Notamacropus eugenii: one gene and its partner. The protein of the gene in region 2 interacts with the protein of the main gene of each other region in a pairwise test. Links are inferred from orthologs where the notes say so. Each region holds a gene or a part of one and is shown on either strand. Other genes may lie near its edges.

Region 1 (9,537 bases), on a different chromosome or scaffold from region 2:
GGGGGAGGGAAACCCTCTCCCTGCCCCCCCGACTGAATGCTTTCTTTCTCTGATAGGGAAGTGTACATCAATCAACATGCACCTCATATGTCACACACAACAAAGATGTATTAAGCACCATTGTGTTCATGACACTGTGCTAGGCACAGAGAGTGCTGAATAAACTCATCAATCATATTATCCCTGATCTCTAAAGAGCCCAATGCAAGGGTGTCTTCTTGGTGCTCGCCCCTGACCCTCTGCAGCCGCTGGGTGCCCTCCTCATGGGTCCTCTCCTCTCTGGGTTTTCATTTCCTTCCTGCCTGTCTCACTCTCCTTTCCGTGGGCCTCTATTCCTATCCCAGTTCCTACCTGCAAGGAAGCCCTGGGTTCTGGTTGCCCCCATCAGCTCTCACAGGCTCAATTACCACCTCTGTGTGAAGGAGCCTCGGACTTCTAGGGTCACTCCCATGAGCTCCAACTCTGCTCAACTAGCTGTGTATTTGGTGTCTCCTCTTGGTCATCCCAAAGGCATCTCAAATTCAGCATGTCTGGAGCAGAACTCGGAAGCTTTCCCCCAAACTTGTTTCTGTTGGGGGCACTCCTATCCTCCCAATCCCCAGGCTGGCATCTCGAGTCATCCTCAGTTCCTCCTTCCCCCTCACCCAAGCAGCGCTAAGTCTTATTTATTCCACCTGCCCAGAGCCCCTGGTGCCTGACCCCTCTCATTATGTCCAAGGCCTCCACACCAGCTCATCTCCATGCCATTGCACTGGCTGTCCCCAATACCCAGAATGCACTCCTTTTGCACAGTCACTTGTTAAACTATCTCATCTCTTTCCAAATTTGGGTTCCTTTCTTCTCCAGTGACCTTTCCTAACTCCCCCACACCTCACCAAACACCTAGTATTGTGTACAGGCCCATCTGTGCATAGTGTCTCATCTACCATGACCCCACTGCTCCATAAGGGCAGGCACTGATTCCCTTTTGTCTTATATCTCCATAGCCCAGGACAGTGTTTGGCATGAAGTGAGTGCTTAATAAGTGCTTATTAGTTAATTTATTGATTTAAAGGTTAGAAAAGACATGATCCCTGCCTTCATGGGACTTCCCGTCAAGAAGAGTAAGACTTCAATACAGAAAGCTTCACACACACACACACACACACACACACACACACACACACACACACACACACACACATAGGTGTTGAGGGAAGATCATTTTCCACTGAGGGTAGGGAGAGAAGAACTGGGGAAAGCTTCCTGAAGGAAGCAGCATTTGAGGTGGGCTTTAATGGATGGATAGGAATTCACTAGGCAGAAAAGGAAGGAAGGGAATTCCAACTAGAGGAAGTGGTGTGCAGGAAGGCAAGGAGGTTAAGTTTTTTATTTGTTTGTTTATTTATTCCAGGGGTGTTGGGAGAGGATAGTAGTCCAATCTGGATGGAACAAATGGAGGCTAGAAAGACTGTGGCACAAAATTGTGAAGAGCTGGGAGTGCCAGGTGAAGTTTAAGCTTTTGTTAACAAACAATAGGGAGCCATAGAATGTCTGACCTCGTAACGAATGACAAGTTCAGATCTATGAAAAGCATCGTACTCCAGCATCACTGACAATCAAAGTTCCCCCCAAATTCAAAAGGGCAAATACTCACGCCAAGAGGAGTTCATCAGGCACTGCAAAACAAAAAAGGGGAAGAAAAATCAGTCACCTTCCTGAATGCTAACTGATGAGCCCACATGTTGATCCTTAGCAATGAAGGCCTTATAAGCCCTACAACCTCACCTCCACAAGGGAGGCCTTTTCAATTTCCACCTCCTTCCCAACAGGATTAGAATTATGAAAAAGCCAGTGAATGGACTTCACTGCTTAAGAGTATAAAATCTGGATAAAGGGTCATCTCTGCAACCAATTCTCATTTCTTTAACTTTTCCACAGAGATTTTAAACTCTTACGAGAAAGGGTTTAACAATGTGCAAAGGAAAAGGGATTGTGAAGAAATTAAAATGCTCCATTGTTTCAGTCGTGTCCAACTCTGTGACCCCATTTGGGATTTTCCTTCTCCAGCTCATTTTACATCTGAGGAAAATGATACCAGTAGGGTGAAGTGACTTGCCCAGGGTCACACAGCTAGTAAGTATCTGAGGGCAGATTTGAACTCAGGAAAATGTCTTCCTGATTCCAAGCCCAATGCTCTAGTCACTGTGCCAACTAGCTGCTCCACTCTCGCCTCCACCCTGAAATCCGGAGCCAGGAAGATGCCAGGTGGACTCCTAGGTCATATCCCTAAGTTGCAATTCCCTAAACTTTCAATCAGTAAGCAATAGGGAGCCATTGAATGTCTGGGTGGGTTTTCATCCTGGAAAACAATCTGCTTTCCGTAGGAAACAACAGTAGTTTCTCTCACTGGAGGAGTTCAGAAAAAGTCAGCTGTTTTTCTTTCTGGGATCAGAATACACGAGCAACTGATACCAGTGGATCCTTTTAAGCACATTCACTCACAGCCGTTTTGACTAAAAACCAGACAAAGGGAGTTGATTTGTTCTTGAGCACTCCCTTGAAAATGGCAACGTCTCTTTGAATGATACTAATGCAACACCAAACCATTTTTAAACAGACATTTGGAAGAGCAGAGGAAACATGGGGTCACCCCTTTGCAGAAGCGGGGGATTGGATGTGGATGAATGCAGAAGCTATCTTCAGGCATTGCTGAGGCGGTGGCTGGTTTGGCTGAAATGCTCTATTTCATGGCTAATCTTTGCTATGAAGGATGGCTCACTAGGTGGGGAGGGAGAAGAGACATCTGGAAATGAAGGGGATGGAAAAATGAAAGCTACTCGTAAAAATAAGATCAATTGAAAAACTAGAGGCAAGGGTTTATATATCAAATTTGTGTGCATATATAATAGATGTATATATACTGTCTATACACTCATATTGTGGATACATGGTATATACACACATTAAAAAACAACACTATTTACTAGTGTGGCCTCAAGCAAATCCCTTAACTCTTTGAGCCTCAGTTTCTTTCTCTGTAAAATGAGGGAGTTGGTCTGGACAACCTTACTGTACCTATAACTTATCTTCAGCTCAGTGACACTCCCCACTCCCCCAGCCTGGCTGGCCAGTTGGATGAGAGTGCCCTTTGATCCAGGCCATTTCAGGACTTGCTGTTGGTCAAGTATGGCCACCCTGTTCCCTGCTTCCACTCTGGCTCTGGGCACTGTAAATAAATCGGCCTTCGCACAGCCTCTGGAAAAGGCAACTGCTCTGGGGTTCCACCGGGACTTCCCAGACCAAAGCCCCCTTTCCTGGTCATGGCTCCTCTAGGTGTGTGTTTCCCCTTATGTAATATAATTGGATATATAATTATATTATGTTATATATGTTATAATAATATAATATATAGTATAATCTCCTTGAAGGTAGGCGTATTTAGCATACGGCCAAGCACACAGTAATGAATGAATGGAATGAATGAAAAAACACCTGTCAGATGCTTCCCGTGTGCTGGGCCCCCCTAAGAAGGACAGTCCCCGCTCTCCGAGGGGGACAAAGAACAAAGCTCGGTTGAGTGTTCCGAGGAGGGGTGGCCGGGCCCCGTCGGTGGGCCTCGGATCTGCAGGGCACGGGCACAGCCACAGCCCCGTCGGAAGGACCCTCCCCTCCCATCCCGGGCACAGAGAGGCACCGGGCAAGCCCTGTGCGGTGCGGGCAGAGGGCAGACGCCGAACCGCACAGGCTCGCTCGTATGTTCCTTACGATTCTCTGTCACTGAATGGATACACGTGGGCAGAACCCGCCCCGTCTGACAGGCCTCCTCGGCGGCCCCGGCAGCATTCGCACCCAGGCCCCCGCCCTCTCAGACCGCAGCAACAGGCAGCAGGGTTCCTTGGCCAGGGGCATCCTCTGCTGGTCACTGAGGGAAGAGCCGCCCCCAGGAGGTTCCTGCCCCGCACCCCACCCCCTCCCCGGGCTCGGCCGGCCGGTCCTGGGGTCCCGAGGGCCAGCGGCTGCCCCGGGACGCCCCCCTACCTCGAGTCGCCTCCCCGCGCGTGGCCGCAATCTCGCCCAGCACCGCCTCCAGCACCGCGGGCAGCGTGGCCTCCATGGCATCCTGGGGGCAGGGACACAAGTGGATCTCCAAGCGCGGGTCAGCCCCGGGGTCACATCCCGACCCTGCGGCTCACGTAGGGGGCCTTAGCCGCCCCTCCAGGCCTCAGTTTCCTCATCTGTCAAACCTGGGGGCTGGACTCTTGAAAACCCGCGGGGTGGGAGAGGGGAAGGTCGGACCTGCGCGAGGGGCACTCGAGGCCAAGATCTATCCCGGACTCCGGGGTTCTAGGGTCACTCGGGGTTGGGACTCACCCTCTAGGGTTCCCGCTCCCGCCCTCCCTGAGCTCCAGCGGCCCCGGCTTCTTAGGCTAGGCGCTACGCACCCTGGGAGATGTAGTTCCTGCCCCTCCAGGTCACGTGCCCCAGGGTTCTTACGCAAGCCCGGAAACGGGAACACCGCGGCCTTCTAGGTCGGAGGCGAAAGGTTTGGGGCCGTTCGGCCTCCGTCCCCGGAAGTAGGGGGCCGGGGAAGCTTCCACGACACGGGGGGCGGGACTCCTGGGCACGTGGTAGGGCCGAAGGCGGGGCCCGGGGAGGGGAGAGGGCGGAGCCTGGGCCGGCCTGCCTAGCTGCCGGCGGCTCCCCCGGAGTGTCGGAGCTGGAGCTGCGAGGCCGGTGCCACGGCCGGGCCTCCCCCCACCCCCGTCCTCCCGGGGCCCCCCCTGCGCGCCCGGCTCCTCCGGGAGAAGCTGCCGAGGCCGGAAGGCGGCCGCGTGACTCGCTGTCCCGAGCCGCCCGCTCCTTCCGGACGCGGACGGAGCCCGGGATGTGGGGCCCGCTGAGTCGCAGCCTCGGCCGGGGCCTCTTGGCGGCCGCGGGCCGGCGTCGGAGGGGCTACGCGCGGCTGCTGCTGGCGGGGCCCCGCGGCGGCGGCCGGCGAAGCGCCGACGTGGCCGCCAAGCCCTCCCGCCTCGGACAGGGCCGCTCCGCCCGCGGGCTGTGCGTGGTGGCGCTGGCGGGTGAGCCGGGGCCCGGCGCGGGCGGGAGCCGGGGGCGGCGGGGGGCGGCGGGGCGCGCGTTGCCGTGGGGACGGCGCTGCGTTGCCGTGGTGACCGGGCCCGCCCCCTCTCGCCAGCAGCCTTGTCGTGGTTCTTCAAAAGCGCCCCCGCCGAGGTGGAGGAGGAGGAGGAGGAGGAGGAGGAAGACGAGGAGGTGGAGAGCCCGCCCTCCGAGACCGAGCTCAGGATCATCGAAATGCTCAAGCGGGCCAAGGTGAGGAGGCCCCCCGTGAAGACCTGCGGGGAGGGGGGAAATGCCGCCCTCCAGCGTCCCCAGGCCCGGGGGCCTCCCTCCAGCCCACCGCCCGCCCCCGAGACCATCCGTGGTAAGAGCTGGGCGGAATAAAGGTGGAAATAACGTGTGCCTGACGCCACGTGCGCAGTCAGCTTCCCCCCTGCCTTCTCGGGGAGAAAGGGGGGGGCCGAGGCGGGGAGGGTTAGTTTTTTAATGTAATGGGGGAATATTTAAGGAAATAAAGAAAAGTATATAATATACTTACATATGTACGTTTATACATATGTATGTGCACACCCATACACGCATGCATGCATGTACACGTGCGCACACATACACACGCATGTACACACATGCACACATACATACATACACACATATACATATATATGTACGTATATATAAAATCACTAGCCAGGTTGCATTGCTGTCCCTCCTTTGATGTTTTCCTTTGCACTCTCTGCCTGCAGCTGAGTATTATGAAAAAGGACCCGGAGGAGGCAGAGCGCATTTTACACGAGGCCCTTCATCTTGCTCATAAGGCAGATATCAAGAAGGCCATCATCTACACCTATGATATGGTAATTCTTCTCATACTGTTGCTGGGCCAAAAGCAGGAGAGGGCTTGCTAAGCCTCCTGCTTTCTGTTTCTGGGTCTCAAGAGGACAAAACATATAAGTTGACTTTTAGGTTTCTCGCTTTTTCCATCTGTCAGATGAGTTTAATTTCAACGTTGGAGGGGGTTGTTGATGATTATAAGCTCAATTCTTATGCATAGTCAATCCGCAAGCAGTTACGAAGAGCCTACTGTGTGTCAAGCATTGTAGGAGGAGCTGAAAATTCACCAGAATGCTCCACTACATATTAATACTTCTGTAAATATTCAGGGAATTTTAAGAAATGGTTAAGTGCTAGCCTGGTCTTTATCAGCACGGTTTGAAATATATGCCCATCAGTCTCCTTGTGCAGTGATGACTTCTAGTTAGTGATGGTCCTTTGGTCATACTCATCTCTCACTTTAAGAAAATAGAGGGGAAAAGGTCTTAGATTCTGATAAAAATGATGGAGGCAGTGCACCAATTGGAAAAGTAATGTTGATTTGACTTCTCTTTCCTTTACAGATGGCTAATTTAGCGTTCATGAGGAATCAGCTTGAAAAAGTAAGCAAGTGTTTTATTAGACTCTGAATCATGAAAAATTAGGCTTGAAATTCCAGGAGATCTTTGTCTGGAGATCAGATGAACTCATTTAAGTTGAAGTCGTACTGTATCACAGCGTTCCTTAAGATCTATAAATAGATAAGCTCAGGAGCCCTGCCATCTTCTGTCACCTCTTAATGTCCTTTTAGAGAGTTATTCTGTAAACCCCTTGTTGGGAACCCTCATCCTAGTGTTTTCTGTGACCCTTTGTGGAATGGTGGGACCACTTATACAATTTCTTATTTTAGGCAGAAAAGCTTTTTAAAGCAACAATGAGCCATCTCCTGATTGGAGGCATGAAGCAGGTAAGAATAGTAATTTTTGTTAACTGTGAGTGGTTCCAAATTAGCATCTTCATGAAAGGGCATTTCTCTTAGTGTATATTTTATGTCTAACCACAGTAAAACCACCCTTCTAATTCTCCATCTTCCACCTCAAAATAGGAATGCCAGCCTGCAGCCATGCTGCCTGATATGCCAGGAGTGTAGTGGTTTCTTAATTGAGCTTTTAACTGTGACAATGAGGAACACACAGACCATGAGGCAGTACCCTGATGCATGAGGTCATATGATACGGGTTGGTACTTGGAGTGCTAGAGGGAGACTTAGGGTCAGAGCCAACAGTAGGACTTTGGACAAGTCAGTTAACCTTTCAGGCTCAGTTTCCTGATCTGAAAAATGTATCCCCACAGGGTTATTATGAGCTAAAACCAGGTAATTTAAATGATGGTCTGTGTAAGCCTTAGCATGTTATATAAATGACAGTGATTATTACCTAAAATGATCTCGGAAGGAATTGTCTTTAAATGTCTTTTTCTTCCAATAGGAGGACAATGCAATAATTGAAATATCCCTAAAGTTGGCCAGTATCTATGCTACTCTGAAAAGGTAAGTTAAGGTAGGGCCCTTAGGATAGCAGGCCTCACAGGGCAGGCTTGGTGCTGGAGGGAAGACTTTTGACTTGGGATGTCGGAAAAAACACTCTTGTAAAACTACCTGCTTTTCAGAGGGTCAGAAACCATCAACTTTGTCTGGCATCCCAGAAATTCATTTCAGTTTGGCTGTGGCCTACTTTATCATATGGGCTTGGATTGATATGCTGCTTTCATGGCCAGGGGAAAAACATTTACAGAGTCTGACTCAGCTGCAAACAATTGATCAGTGTCAGAATTGGAATATCTCCATCACAGAAATTGTGTGGTAATGCACCTGGTACATATCCCTCAAAAAACTTTTTAAGAGAGGAGGTTTGAGTGGTGAGTGGGTAGGAGCTCTGAGAGCCTTGACTTATTGCCATCTTCCCATTTCACACGTCCCTTTCTGGTGGTGACTCAAGCCTTAGTTGGACGAAAGAGAAGTCTGACCCTGATCCCCCTGCAGAATGTCAGGGAGCTTGAAGGTGAACTGCTCGTCCCTGCTCTTTGCATTACAGACAGGAATTTGCTTTTGCTGGCTACGAGTTCTGCATTTCAACCCTGGAGAGAAAAATCACAAGAGAGAAGGCATTAACAGAAGAAATTATGCCAGGTAAGGAATCCAGGTCTCACCTGAGAGGGATTTCCTAATGCACTGCAGAAAAGAGAAGGAAGTTTCTTAGTTAAAGTGGAAGAGAGATGAATTATGTACTTTGGGTACTGATCAGAAAGTGGTTTGTATTTTCTGCTATTGCTTTGGAGACAATCACTGAGCAGATATGGCCACTTTCACTGCCACCTTTTAATGAGCATACAGCCCACGATCCTTTAGGAAGCTGAAAGAGGAAGACATTGATGTTTTCCTTCCTGTACTCAGCTCAGCTGCAAGTCTGGATCTTTTAATTTAAAATACCTAATTTCTTAACCTCCAAAAAATGGGAGTCAGGCATGTAGCAAACTCAGAAAGGACAGAATTTCTCTGGCTAATGTGTTAAAGTTCAAACTTTCCAACGCCAGCAAGTTAATAGATTAATTAACTGGAAGTAGGATGAATAATGTGGGAAACTTTAACTCCTGAATTCAGTTTGAAGTATGGGGAATTTCCAGACCATCAGATACTTAATAACTGCAAAAAATAAAGTCTGGAAGTTAACTCTAAGTCAGTTTCTAGGTATCTAAACCATTTCTGCCTTCCATGGGCAAGTGACCATTAACTGTCCCAACTCTCTTGACAGCAGTTTTCATCAATGAATGAATAGAACCTACTTTGATTCTGAGATTGGGGTATAATTACATGGGTCCTGGTAGTGGCAGTGCAGTGATGCTGCTGCTTGTCTCACATTGATATCTAGGAGCTGGGATTCTCAGGGACTGATGGGTTGATTCACAAGGGAATGAGGCCATGGCATCGGAAGCTGGGAGGGAGGGACGATCTCTCATTTCCCTTCCATCCACATGGTCTTGCTTGATTTTTAGCTGAAGAGAAAGCCAATACTCATCTCCTTCTGGGCATGTGCTATGACTCCTATGCTCGATACCTCCTTGATATCAGCCGACTGTCTGATGCACAAAAAATGTACGAAAAAGCGTTGCAGATTTCCAGAGAGATACGAGGAGAAAGACACCCACAGGTGACAACTGCTGCTTGCTACCTTGGTGGCTTATTGGTAGAGGGCTGTGCGTTCATTATCCTGCCTTAAAAATCAGGGTGAAGAAGTCTAAGGTGAAATTTCTACATTCAGAATAGGAAATGCTATACTGTTAGAAGGAAGAATGGGAAGAGATAGAACTGCTTTTGGATCAGTGAGTAAAACTGGAATAGATGACCTTTGGTCTGAGTGTGGGTGAAGTAACTTATTCCCTGAGTTATTCTGGGGGGAGTTGTTCCCTGAAGACATGGGCTGTTGGTGTTGCTGTAGCCAGAAAGACCAGTACCATGCTGACTATCGTCAGAGGGGCTCTAGAAATCAAATAGAACACATCCCCTTCTTGTTCAGAACCAGGCTAGGTTTTCCTTTGCCAGCCAGCATGTCCCTGCTGTTTACCACACTTATAGAAAGCCCAAGTAGAGCTGGAAACTCTCCAGAGAAA
Region 2 (10,388 bases):
GGGGTTGAGGAGTAAATGGGGAGTAAGGAAATGAAGTGAATGTACATGATTCTTTCTAGGAGTTCAGCAGTGAAGGAGCAGAGAAATAATCTCTCAAGGGGATGGGAGGGTCAAGAAGGACGTTTAAGGCTAAGGGTGACCTGAGCATGACTGTAGGTATGATAGGGAGAGGCTGACAGTGAAAGAAAGAGAAGGCTCCTCTTTCAACAAAGATGGTGGGGGATGTAATCAAAGGTACAAGGAGAGGGACTGGTCAGTCATAACAAGGAAAGGGTCACATCTTTCTGTGACTGAAACACAAAGAACAGATGTTGGGGAGACAGAAAAAGGTTTCCAGGTGTGGAGGAACAATAGGTGACATTAATCAAAGAGGGAGGCCAGATCATGTGGATAGGGCTAGGGACTTGCTGAAAGAAGTCTGGACCAGCCTCCATGGGGAATGTGGTCAGTCTAAAAGGACTGACTGTCATGCAGCAGGGAGGATCCAGCTGAAGTTAGAGAATACAGATCTCTGGAGGACCCAGCAAAGATAGTGTCAGCATTCATTGGCTCGGCAATCCCAATCCGACCTGAGAAGGCAGATGGTGAGAATGGTCTTGAGGGAGGATGGGTCAGTTGAGAAAGTCAGCATGAAAGTGACTCAAGGTTAGAGGGCATTGTTTGGTAGAACAGGTTAAGTAGAGGGTCAAGGTTTCTTCTAAGTAACCCAGGAATATGTGCTATTTAACTTTTTAATCAATGATTTGGATAAAGGCAATTCAGTAAATTCTTACTGAATTTACACAGGATACAAGGCCAGGAGCGATAGTTAAGGCATTGAATGACAAAGTTGGGATCCAAAAAGATTCAACTAGCTAGACTGTTGAGCTAAATCTTAATATGATGAAATTTGATAGATATGAACATGGAGTCTTGGGTTAAAAAAAAATCAACTTTGCAAGTATATCATTATGTGTGGAAGTGGACAGTGTTGGGCCTGAAGTCAGGAAGACCTGAGTTCAAATTCAAATTGAACTCAAATTGAGTTCAAATACAAGAACAGACACACCCATTTTGTTTGGTGTTTGTTACATTCAGAATATTTTTTTCTTAAGAAAAAAAGGGTTCATCACATTTTTGGGAGAGCAGTGTCATTCAAGTGTTTGGGCTGAAAACTAGGCCAGGAGGTGTTGGAAATCGGGGAAAGAAATGAAGGCAAGGGCTGTAGACTAGCAGGGTTAAACTCAACACTGCATGTCAACTTGGAAAACCACAAATTCACATTATGTTGTATTTTAAGCTTTATTTTGTTAAACCTTTGCCAGCTACATTTTAATCAATGTTCAGCCCCCACTGGGGAGGTTTGTAGGCCATGAATTTGACACCTCTGGTGCAGAATGCCCTTTCTAGGAGTCTGTTTGATCAAGTCAAAGGGAATATAGATAGAGGATAATAATTTGAGCAGATGGCAGGGTCATGAGAAGGTTTTTTAAGGATAGAGGAGATACTGGCCTATCTATAGACTGCAGGGAAGAAGTCAGTGGATAAGGAAAGATCAAAGATCAACCAATCAGGTACTGTGCTAGAGGATAGGGGTACAGAGACTAAAACTAGAGTCCCTATCTTTAATATCTTTACATGCTACTAGGAGGAAAAAAACAGATATAGAGAAATCAATACAAAACATAAGATAATTACAAGGTAACTTTTTAATTTGACGGAAGGCTCAGGAAGACGCAGCTCTTGAGCTGAGCTCTCAAGTGTGACCACAGACCAGAACCCTCCCCTAAAATCCCTAGGTCGCAAGGCCTGGGTGACATCCTTCGGGGGAAAGTCTAACCCCAAAGTGGTATCTTATCTTTCTGGCTTGTTTTGCCCCTATCCCAGAGTTTTACTCCAGGCAAATCTCCAAAATAAAGCTTAGGTTGAAGACAAATGAAATGGCTGAAAAGCGAGAAGGGAAGAGCGAGATCAGATCAGAGTAGACAAGATGGACGTAGGGTGGGGTGAAGAGGTACAGAGCAGGGTAGGAAGGAAGAATAGGTTGGGAGGGACCTTAGAGGTTATCAAGTCCTTAAAATCAAAGGATTGCAGATTTTAGAGCAAATGGATCATCTCATCTAACCTCATTTTTTACATGGGGAAATTGAGGTCCAGAGTTATGAAGTGATTTGTTTGTTAAAGGTAACAGAGAAGTACCAGTGTCAGGTACAGAAGTACCTATGTCCCTTAACTCCAAATTCAGCAATCTTTCCAATACACCAAAATCATGGAAACGGAAAAGTTTTAGGTGAGGGTGAAATCTAAGTTGTCAGCACCCCTATAGTTTGACAGAGTACAGTCAGAGTTGATGGGAGTTGAAAAGATTAATGAACTGGGAGACCAGGACATTATAAAGTTTGTTGGCATGAACCATGAGCCAAGTCCTCAACTCCTGGAGGAAGGAAAAAACGTGATCTGGAGCTCAGCACATAACAGCAACAAACACCTGGATAGCGTCCGGATGATGGAAATTTAAAATGGAAAGGTCGCTGAGAACTGGTGCAGAGAGAGAGTCTCAAAGTGCATGACTCCTGGCCCCGAGTATCAAGAGGCATGAGACATTGGCCAAGACTGGAGATGGTCACAAGACATATGCTGCCCTCAGGATAAAGCAAGGCTTGAGTTACTACCTGAAGGTAGAAAGAATAGGAGGGAAAGAGGAGGAGTTTGTTAACAAAATGAGTGGACATTCTACAGAGCACAGTGGAAGGGAAAAGCAGAGGAGGGAAAGAAATTGGGCTGAGTTGTATAGGGATGAGCATTCAGGGGGACACCAGGGGAAAGAGATTTCCCCCAAGGCAGGTAGAAACTATGAAACATAGGGATTAGTGGAGCAGGAGGTAGCAATCTGCCAGCCTCAGGGCAGGGGGAGAATTAAGTAGGGAGACTATGACCAGTGTCTGCTCCTTTTCTGACTGCGTTTGAGGCTTCAAGTCCCTCCCCACTTTAAATCTGTCCCCCACAAAGTTGCCAAACGCCCATATTATTATTCCCCAACTCATTAAAATCCAGTGGCTCCTTATTGCCTCTAGAATAAAAACACAAACTGCTCTGTTCGGCCCTTCACAACCTAGTCCCAACCTATTTTTCCAGCCCCACTATACACTGTTCCCATCCAACCAGGCTCCTCCTGCTGCTGCTCACACAATGTGTCCCTGTGTCTTTGCAATGGCTGCACCTCCATGTATGGAGTGCACTTGCTCCGCATCTCTGCCTCGGAGATTCCCGGACCTTCATCGAGACTCATCTCCAGCCTACATACTCCTACAAGTCTCAGCGCCCACCACCTGCCTGGTATTTCTTTTGTGTTTGTCCTGCATGTGTTACGTAGGGATCTGCCTCTCTTGGAAGGCAAGGGCTGGGTTTTTCTGTTTTTGTATCCACAACAACTAGCACCGCGCCTGACACACCCTGGGCACTTAAGAGATGGTGGGTGACTCCATCCCAGAGCCCCGCCCCTTCCAGAGCTCCGCTCCACAGATGGCTCCGCCTCCTCACCACAGAGCTCCTCCCCCTCCAGAGTCCCGCCCCGCAGATGGCCCAGCCCCCTGGAGCTCCGCCTATCAGTTACCTGGAGCCTCAGCGGGTCCCTAGCAGCTCCGGCCTTCCATCCTGGAGGGAGGCTCTGGAGGGCCTTGCGAGCCACAAACAGCACTGGGCCCCGACCCTCCCCCGCTGCCACCAGGGCAGCCGCGAACAGCAACGCCGTCTTGCCGGAGCCCGGCTCCCCGAGCAGCAGAAGGCCGGTACCCTTCCCAGCGGCGCAACCTTCTCCGCCGACCCCTGCGCCCGGACTCAGCAGCGCCCTCAGAGCCTCCATGCCCGCTCTCAGCCCTCCCTCTGCGCTGCACACGCGGCCAATCAGAGCGCTGCTCTGCGCTAATCCCTCCCCCTTGAAAACGGTCCATTGGCTAGGCTCAGTTCACTTCGGTAGCTCGCCGGAGGGGCCGGGCGAACGCTCCCAATGGGCGGTCCCTCCACGTGGTCTTCCCAGGCTCGACTGCAATGGGGGGCAAGGTCTTCCAGGGCACCCCCTACTGCGCCCTCCTAGATCACCGAGCCTCACGTCTTCTTTTTCTTTTTCCTTCCTTTGTCTCTTCTCCAGTGCCTTTCCTCAGTTAAATATTCCCATTTTTCCTGCATATAACTTGCTTTGTATGTATCTGCATGTTGTCTGAGGGCAGGGACTCTTTTGCCCCTGTATGTATCCCTAGCACAGTGCCTAGCACGTAGTAGATGGTTAGTAAATGTTGATTGATTGATCTTGCATTCTGCAGTCCATTTAATCTCCATCTTTTCTCTCTACCACATCTCCCAGTTTGTTTCTCAGTTAAGAATTTACTAAGTACCTGCTCCTCGAAAGCGCTGTGTTAGGGCCCTGGAGATAGGAGGACAAACACGGAAAAGATTCCTATGCACAAGGAGCTTTATTCAACAAGTATCTCATATCACTAAAGTTCCTGTCAGCAGAAGCTTAGACCAAAGGGTAAAAAAGACAGACGGCTGCAAGTACCTGAAGCCTTTGCTTCCCTGAGATCCCAGGACAGAGTGGCGAGCCAGGAGGGAGGCATCTCTTGTTTATACAAACACATGCCTCTCCCACCTTACTCCCTTTCTATGGTTTTGGGCCAGTGAAGTTCAGGAATCCCTGACTGTACACAAAGAAACGGGAAAGACAAGAAGGAGAAGTTTGGGGAGATTGCTGGAAGCAGAAGTCACCATGTAGGAAACACATTTTTCTTTTCACTTTTAAAAAATAAGCGATGTAGCCACAGTATGTTGAATGTATATCCAGAACCTTGTTGAGGCTGCAGGTTCCCCACCCCTGGCTTATGCCATGTGAACATGGGGGTGGAGGGTGGGGGGCAGGGCAGAGAGAAGATTCTAGTTGTAAAACAGGCACACTAGAATGAGAGATTTCTTGCTTTTTAATCATTTTGAGCAGTATTCCGTGTCATCCCCTGGTTAAATTTCTAGTCTTTAGCCAGTGCTAGCATGTAATTTGGTTGGTATGTGAAGAGCAGTCTAATACCTGCTATGGGTCAATGGAGATGCTTCAGCCTTTGGGGATGCTATACTATGTAAGACCCAGAGAAGAACTGAGGGTCAGTGGCTCAAGGAGAGGGACGCTTGGTGGGCTAATCAGGTATTCACTCCAAAAAACAGTCCAAGAATCTCATGTATATGTCTCCTTTTCATAGTGAAACTCCTAGGAAAAGCAATGTTACTTTTCCCCACTTTCCTCTCAACCACTTCCAACAGCATCATTCAGTGGAAATTGCTCTCTCCAAGGTAACCAATGTTTTCTTAATTGCCAACGTATTAACTTTTTTCTCAGTCCTCATTCCTCTTGACTTCTCTGCTATGTTTGATGCTGTTAGCAGTTTTGTCCTCCAGGATTCTCTCTCTCCTGGATTTTTGTGATCCCATTCTCCTTTTTTAGGGTGAAGTGGATAGAACACTGAGCCTGGAGTTAGGAAGACTCATTTTAATGAGTTCAAATCTGACACTAGTTGTGTAACCTTGGGCAAGTTACTTAACCCTCTTTGCCTCAATTTCCTCATCTATTAAATGACCTGAAAGAAGGAAATGGCAAACCAGTCTAGTATCTTTGCCAAGAAAACCCCAGATGGGGTCGTGAAGAGTCAGACATGACTGAAAAACAACAACTTTTTCTTTTAACTATGTAATTGTTTGTTTTCAATCTCTGTTGTTGATCTATGTCACATCCCCTAATTGTGCATTTACCCTCAAGACCATATCTTGGGCCCTCTTCTTTTTTTCTCCCCTCTTTCTCCTTTGGCAAGTTCATCAACTTCCATGGGTTTAACGATCATCTCTATGTAGATGACTCTCAGGTCTATATATCAAGCCTTCATTTCTCGAGTTCCAGGCTTACATTCATCAGATGAATGTTGGACATCTGCAACTAAATGTTTCATAGAAATCTCAAACTTAACATGTCTAAAATGGAGCTCATTATCTTCCCTTTCAAACTCACCCCTCTTCCTAACTTCCCTATTTCTCCCAAGGGTATGACCATCCTTCCAGTCAGCTGGAAGATCAGGAACCCTGGGAGAGGCACCACCCTTCCTGATTATTAGGTCTGCTTTCAGACCAGCCATCATTTGGGGAGGCAACTCCTGTGGAGAAGGAGCCAGGCATCCTTATTAATTGTCAACCAATTGTCACTCACTGGGCAAGCAAGCCAGTCTAGCTGAAGTAGCAGTGCACCCTTGGGGAGAGATAAGAGGCAGCATATGCCAGGTGGGGCAAACTACCTCTACCGTAACCACCATATCCCCTCCAATCCTGATGGAAACAGCCCAGAACCCTGAATCCCAGAGCTTTAGGAATGGCAATTCTTCCAGGCAAGGGCTTTTAGTCATTATCTTGGGATACGTGGGTACTACCCACAGAAGACACAGAAAAGAAAGTTCTTGTCACCCAAGTCTTTGGTACTATCAGATGGTTCAATATCAGAATCTGATATGATTTTATCACTGGAAATGACATTTAAAAAGAGTGATTACCACCTGCTTTGCTGCTGTATCCTAAGGACATAGACCTTTCTATCCAACTGTAATGTTAATGGAATGTGAAGATCTTCCCCATCCATTAATAGACCTATGTAATCAGGGAAATCTTACAGCTTTGAGCTCCAGCCAGCTGTGATAAACTTGAGTCACATAGAGCCCACTGGGGGAGGAACTTGCCTAAGGAAGAGCTTGCTTAGGGGAGGCTTGTTTTCAGGAAGGCTTTCACACCTTTTGGTACTAAGCTAATTAGGCATTGAGTCACAAGGGTTGTGATGCCTTCTGGTTCTGAGCCTATTAGCCAAAAGTGTCTGTGTATATATGTATATATTCTGAGTTGAGATTTTGCTTTGGGAGTTTGCTTATGAGAAGGATCTTTTGATTCCCTGGACAGGACTCTGATTTGTTAAGAGTCTCCTCCCCATCCCCCATCCCCACTACTCAAATGTTTGTGCTCTCCTGCTCTGATGGCATATGTAGGTACTTGTATTACTTTGTTCAGACAGTTGGAGCCCTGTCTGTTAAATCTCTGTGTTCATTTCTCTGCTTGTATTTTCTACTTATCTGTAATTAAAGTAAGATCGTTGACCCCCTCTGAAGTTATCTTTCTTTCAGAAAAGCAGATCAAAGAACCTGTGCTAGCAGGCCATCCTGGGTATGCTTGGGTGCTTGCTAGTACACCAACTTACAGCTAAAACCTTCCGTGTGTACATCTCTCCCATTTAGAAGGTGCGGTCTTTGAGAGCAAACGCTGCGACATTTGTATTCCTCACATTTAGTTCAGTGCTCTGCACATAATCAGCACTTCATTCCTTCATTCATTCATGCATTCATTCCTTCTAATCACCCAGGTGACTAAAGTTTCAGAATCATTTCCAGTTCTTTACTCTCCCTTACATCTCCATTTCTAGTCAGTTTCCACAAAATCTCAGCCACCCCTCGCCCCCAATTCAGGTCTTCATCACCTTTGGCCTAGATTATTGAAGTATCCTCCTAACTGATCTCTCTATTATCTCTCCTTTCCAGCCCAAACCTCTAAACAACTTCTCAATGAATATTCCTAGTGACATGAACATGTCACTCTCCTATTCAAGAAGATTCAGACGCTTCTTACTACCTCTAAGAAAATACACACTCTTCTGGTTGGCATTTAAAACTCTTCATAATCTTTATCTCCAGGCTAATTTCACCTTACTACACCTCACACACTCTACATTCCAGCCAAACTGACTTACGTGCTTTTTGTCATGCAAAACATTCCATCTCTAGCAACTGTGGCTTTGTACAAGCTGTCCCCTGGTGCCTGGAATGCGCTCCCCTCACACCCCAACCTCTGGAATCTCTGGTTTCTTTCAAATTTCTGCTCAAGTGCCTCCTGCTACTAGAAGTCTGTCTTGATTCCTCCCACTCCTCTCACACACTTGTTATGGCCTTCCCCACTAAAATTATTCAGTGTTTAGTGCATATGTGAGGCAGCTTTCTACTTGGGACTGTAGCTGTTTTCCTTCCTATTTTTACCCCCTAGATCTTCAGGCATCCAAGAGAGATGGAAATATAGAACTGAATCGCCTTGAGGTAGGCATTACCATAAATGGCAGTTGTCAGAGGTCATGTTGATCTAGTAGGACTTTTCACTTTTTAAAGTATTTATTCATCTACAAAAATATTTATAGCAGCTATGTTTGTGGTGGCCAAGAACTGGAAATTAAGGGGATGCCCATCACTTAGGGAATGATTGAACAAGTTATGATATATGAACGTAATGGAATATATTGTGCTGTAAGAAATAATGAATAGGCAGACTTCAGAAAAACTAAAAAAGACTTATATGAACTGATGCTTAGTGAAATGAGCAGGACCAGGAGAACATTGTACGCAGTAACAGCCACAGTGTGCAGTGATTGACTTTGATAGACTTAGCTCTTCTCAAGCAATGCAAGGACCTAAAGTAACTCCAAAAGACTCATGATGAAAAATGCTATCCATTTCCAGAGAAAGAACTGTGAAGTCTGAATACAGATTGAAGCATACTATTTCCTCTCTTTTTTTGTTTTGTTTTGTTTTTTCTTTTTCATAATTCCTTCCATTCATTCTCATTCTTCTAATCAACATGACTAATCTGAAAATATGTTTAATAAGAATATATATAGAGAGTCTATATCAGAATGTATGCTGTGTTGGGAAGGGGCGAGGAGAGGGAGGCGGAGAAAATTTTAAATTTATTTAAGTTCATGTTAAAAACTAAAAATAAATTAATTAAAAATAGATCGAAGCTTTCCATTGCTATACAAAAAAATAAAAACAATATTTATTTTGTACAAATATTTTCCTTGGGGGCCCCCACATTGAACAATTTTGAGAAAGAAAATCCTCATAACAGATATGGATAGACCAGCAAAATAGCTTCCCACATTGGCCATGCCTGGCAAATATGTTTCCTGTCTGGCAGGAGGTAGTTGGTGTGTTTCATCTTCGTCTTCTGGACTCATGGTTTATAACTGCATAGATCAGAGTGTTCAAGTCATTCAAAGACATTTTTCTCTAGTGCTACTGGCATTGTATAACTGCTCTTCTAGTTGTGTTCACATCAGTTCCTAAAAGGCTTCCCAGTTTCCACTGAGACTGTCCATCTCATCATTTCTTATGGCACAGCAATATCCCATAATTTGTTTGACCATTCCCCAGTTGATGTGCATCCCTTTAGTTTCTGGGTCTAGCAGGACTTTTTTTCAGGGTATTCCTCACCAGAGAGAGATGTGTCTACTCCTGGTTCCTGTCATTGAGGGGGCCTTTGCTGGTTTTTCCAACATTTTGATGCTCACAGAAATGTAACCTGATCACTGTTGTTTCTAAATAGTCATTTACAACCAGGATAGGGTACATTATTTCTAGAATAGGAAAGAATAAACACAAGTGATCGAAGAGATGGAGGTATTGTGTGTTCATGGCTATGCAGTTGGTCTGGTGGGGAGAGAAATCTGCCATAGCAGGTGACTGCTACTGCCCCTCCTCCAGCCACCCAGAGGCCCATAGCATTTCTTCCTCCTCACTCAAAAGCCATCTGGGAAGGAAATGAGAGTTCCTTTGCTCAAAACTTGCATATGCACACTTAGTTAAGCTTCATGACCCAGTTAGAAGTCTGTCCATGATCACACGGAAACCAACAGGAAACAGAACAGAACTAATGTGTGCTCTGAAATGGGAAAGAAAAGGGTCCCTCCATTACTTGGTTCAGAGAGTAGGCTTCCCAAGTCTCCATGTGGGTTAATATTAGGCAGAGTTTATTGTGTATTCTTTTTTTTAAGTATTTTTTTCCTAGAGGGAGGAAGGCAAAGCAGTGGGGGCTAAGTGACTTGCCCAAGGTTACATAGGTAACAAGTGTCACGTGTCTGGGGCCACATTTGAACCCAGGTCCTCCTGACTCCAGGGTTGGTGACCTATTCGCTACGCCACCTAACTGCCCTTATATTATATATTCTTTAAAGACTGGGAGCTTATTGCCTAGTCCCCCATTACATATGAAATGTTACATGCCTACAGTCATTCATTTCTGCAAAGAAGGGAAATGTTTTCCATTCTTCTTTGGTTCAAGCTTGGATATTATAATTATGCAATATTTGGGGTTTTTTTCTTTCCAATTTTACTGTTGCAGTTTTTGTGTCTTGTTTTCTGGGTTCTTACTTCATTCTGTCAGTTTACATAAATCTTCTCATACTTTTCTGAATTCTTCACATGCCTTGTTTCTTACAGCTCCATTATGTTCATGTACTACATTTTGTTTAGCTATTTCCCAATGGACATATATAACTTTTGCTTCCAGTTCTTTGCTCT

The links.
Region 1: the proteins of SWSAP1 (region 2) and ZSWIM7 interact in binary tests that used the Homo sapiens proteins (3 or more experiments, as listed by UniProt). The link is inferred for Notamacropus eugenii from reciprocal best matches to the Homo sapiens genes SWSAP1 and ZSWIM7.

The regions. Positions count from the first base shown.
Region 1 is NC_092873.1:42,136,081-42,145,617, forward strand, and holds the start of ZSWIM7 (zinc finger SWIM domain-containing protein 7), read right to left. Parts: upstream 4,493-9,537; 5' UTR 4,425-4,492; intron 4,409-4,424; exon of another isoform or gene 4,103-4,408; 5' UTR 4,097-4,102; coding exon 4,021-4,096; intron 1,659-4,020; coding exon 1,637-1,658; intron 1-1,636. Other genes in the region: TTC19 (tetratricopeptide repeat protein 19, mitochondrial), read left to right, coding at 4,868-5,060, 5,177-5,313, 5,805-5,915, 6,456-6,494, 6,782-6,838, 7,359-7,420, 7,965-8,059, 8,923-9,077. UniProt on the Homo sapiens protein: Involved in early stages of the homologous recombination repair (HRR) pathway of double-stranded DNA breaks arising during DNA replication or induced by DNA-damaging agents. Required for meiotic progression, hence for fertility.
Region 2 is NC_092875.1:78,509,257-78,519,644, forward strand, and holds the start of SWSAP1 (ATPase SWSAP1), read right to left. Parts: upstream 3,877-10,388; 5' UTR 3,842-3,876; coding exon 3,593-3,841; intron 1-3,592. UniProt on the Homo sapiens protein: ATPase which is preferentially stimulated by single-stranded DNA and is involved in homologous recombination repair (HRR). Has a DNA-binding activity which is independent of its ATPase activity.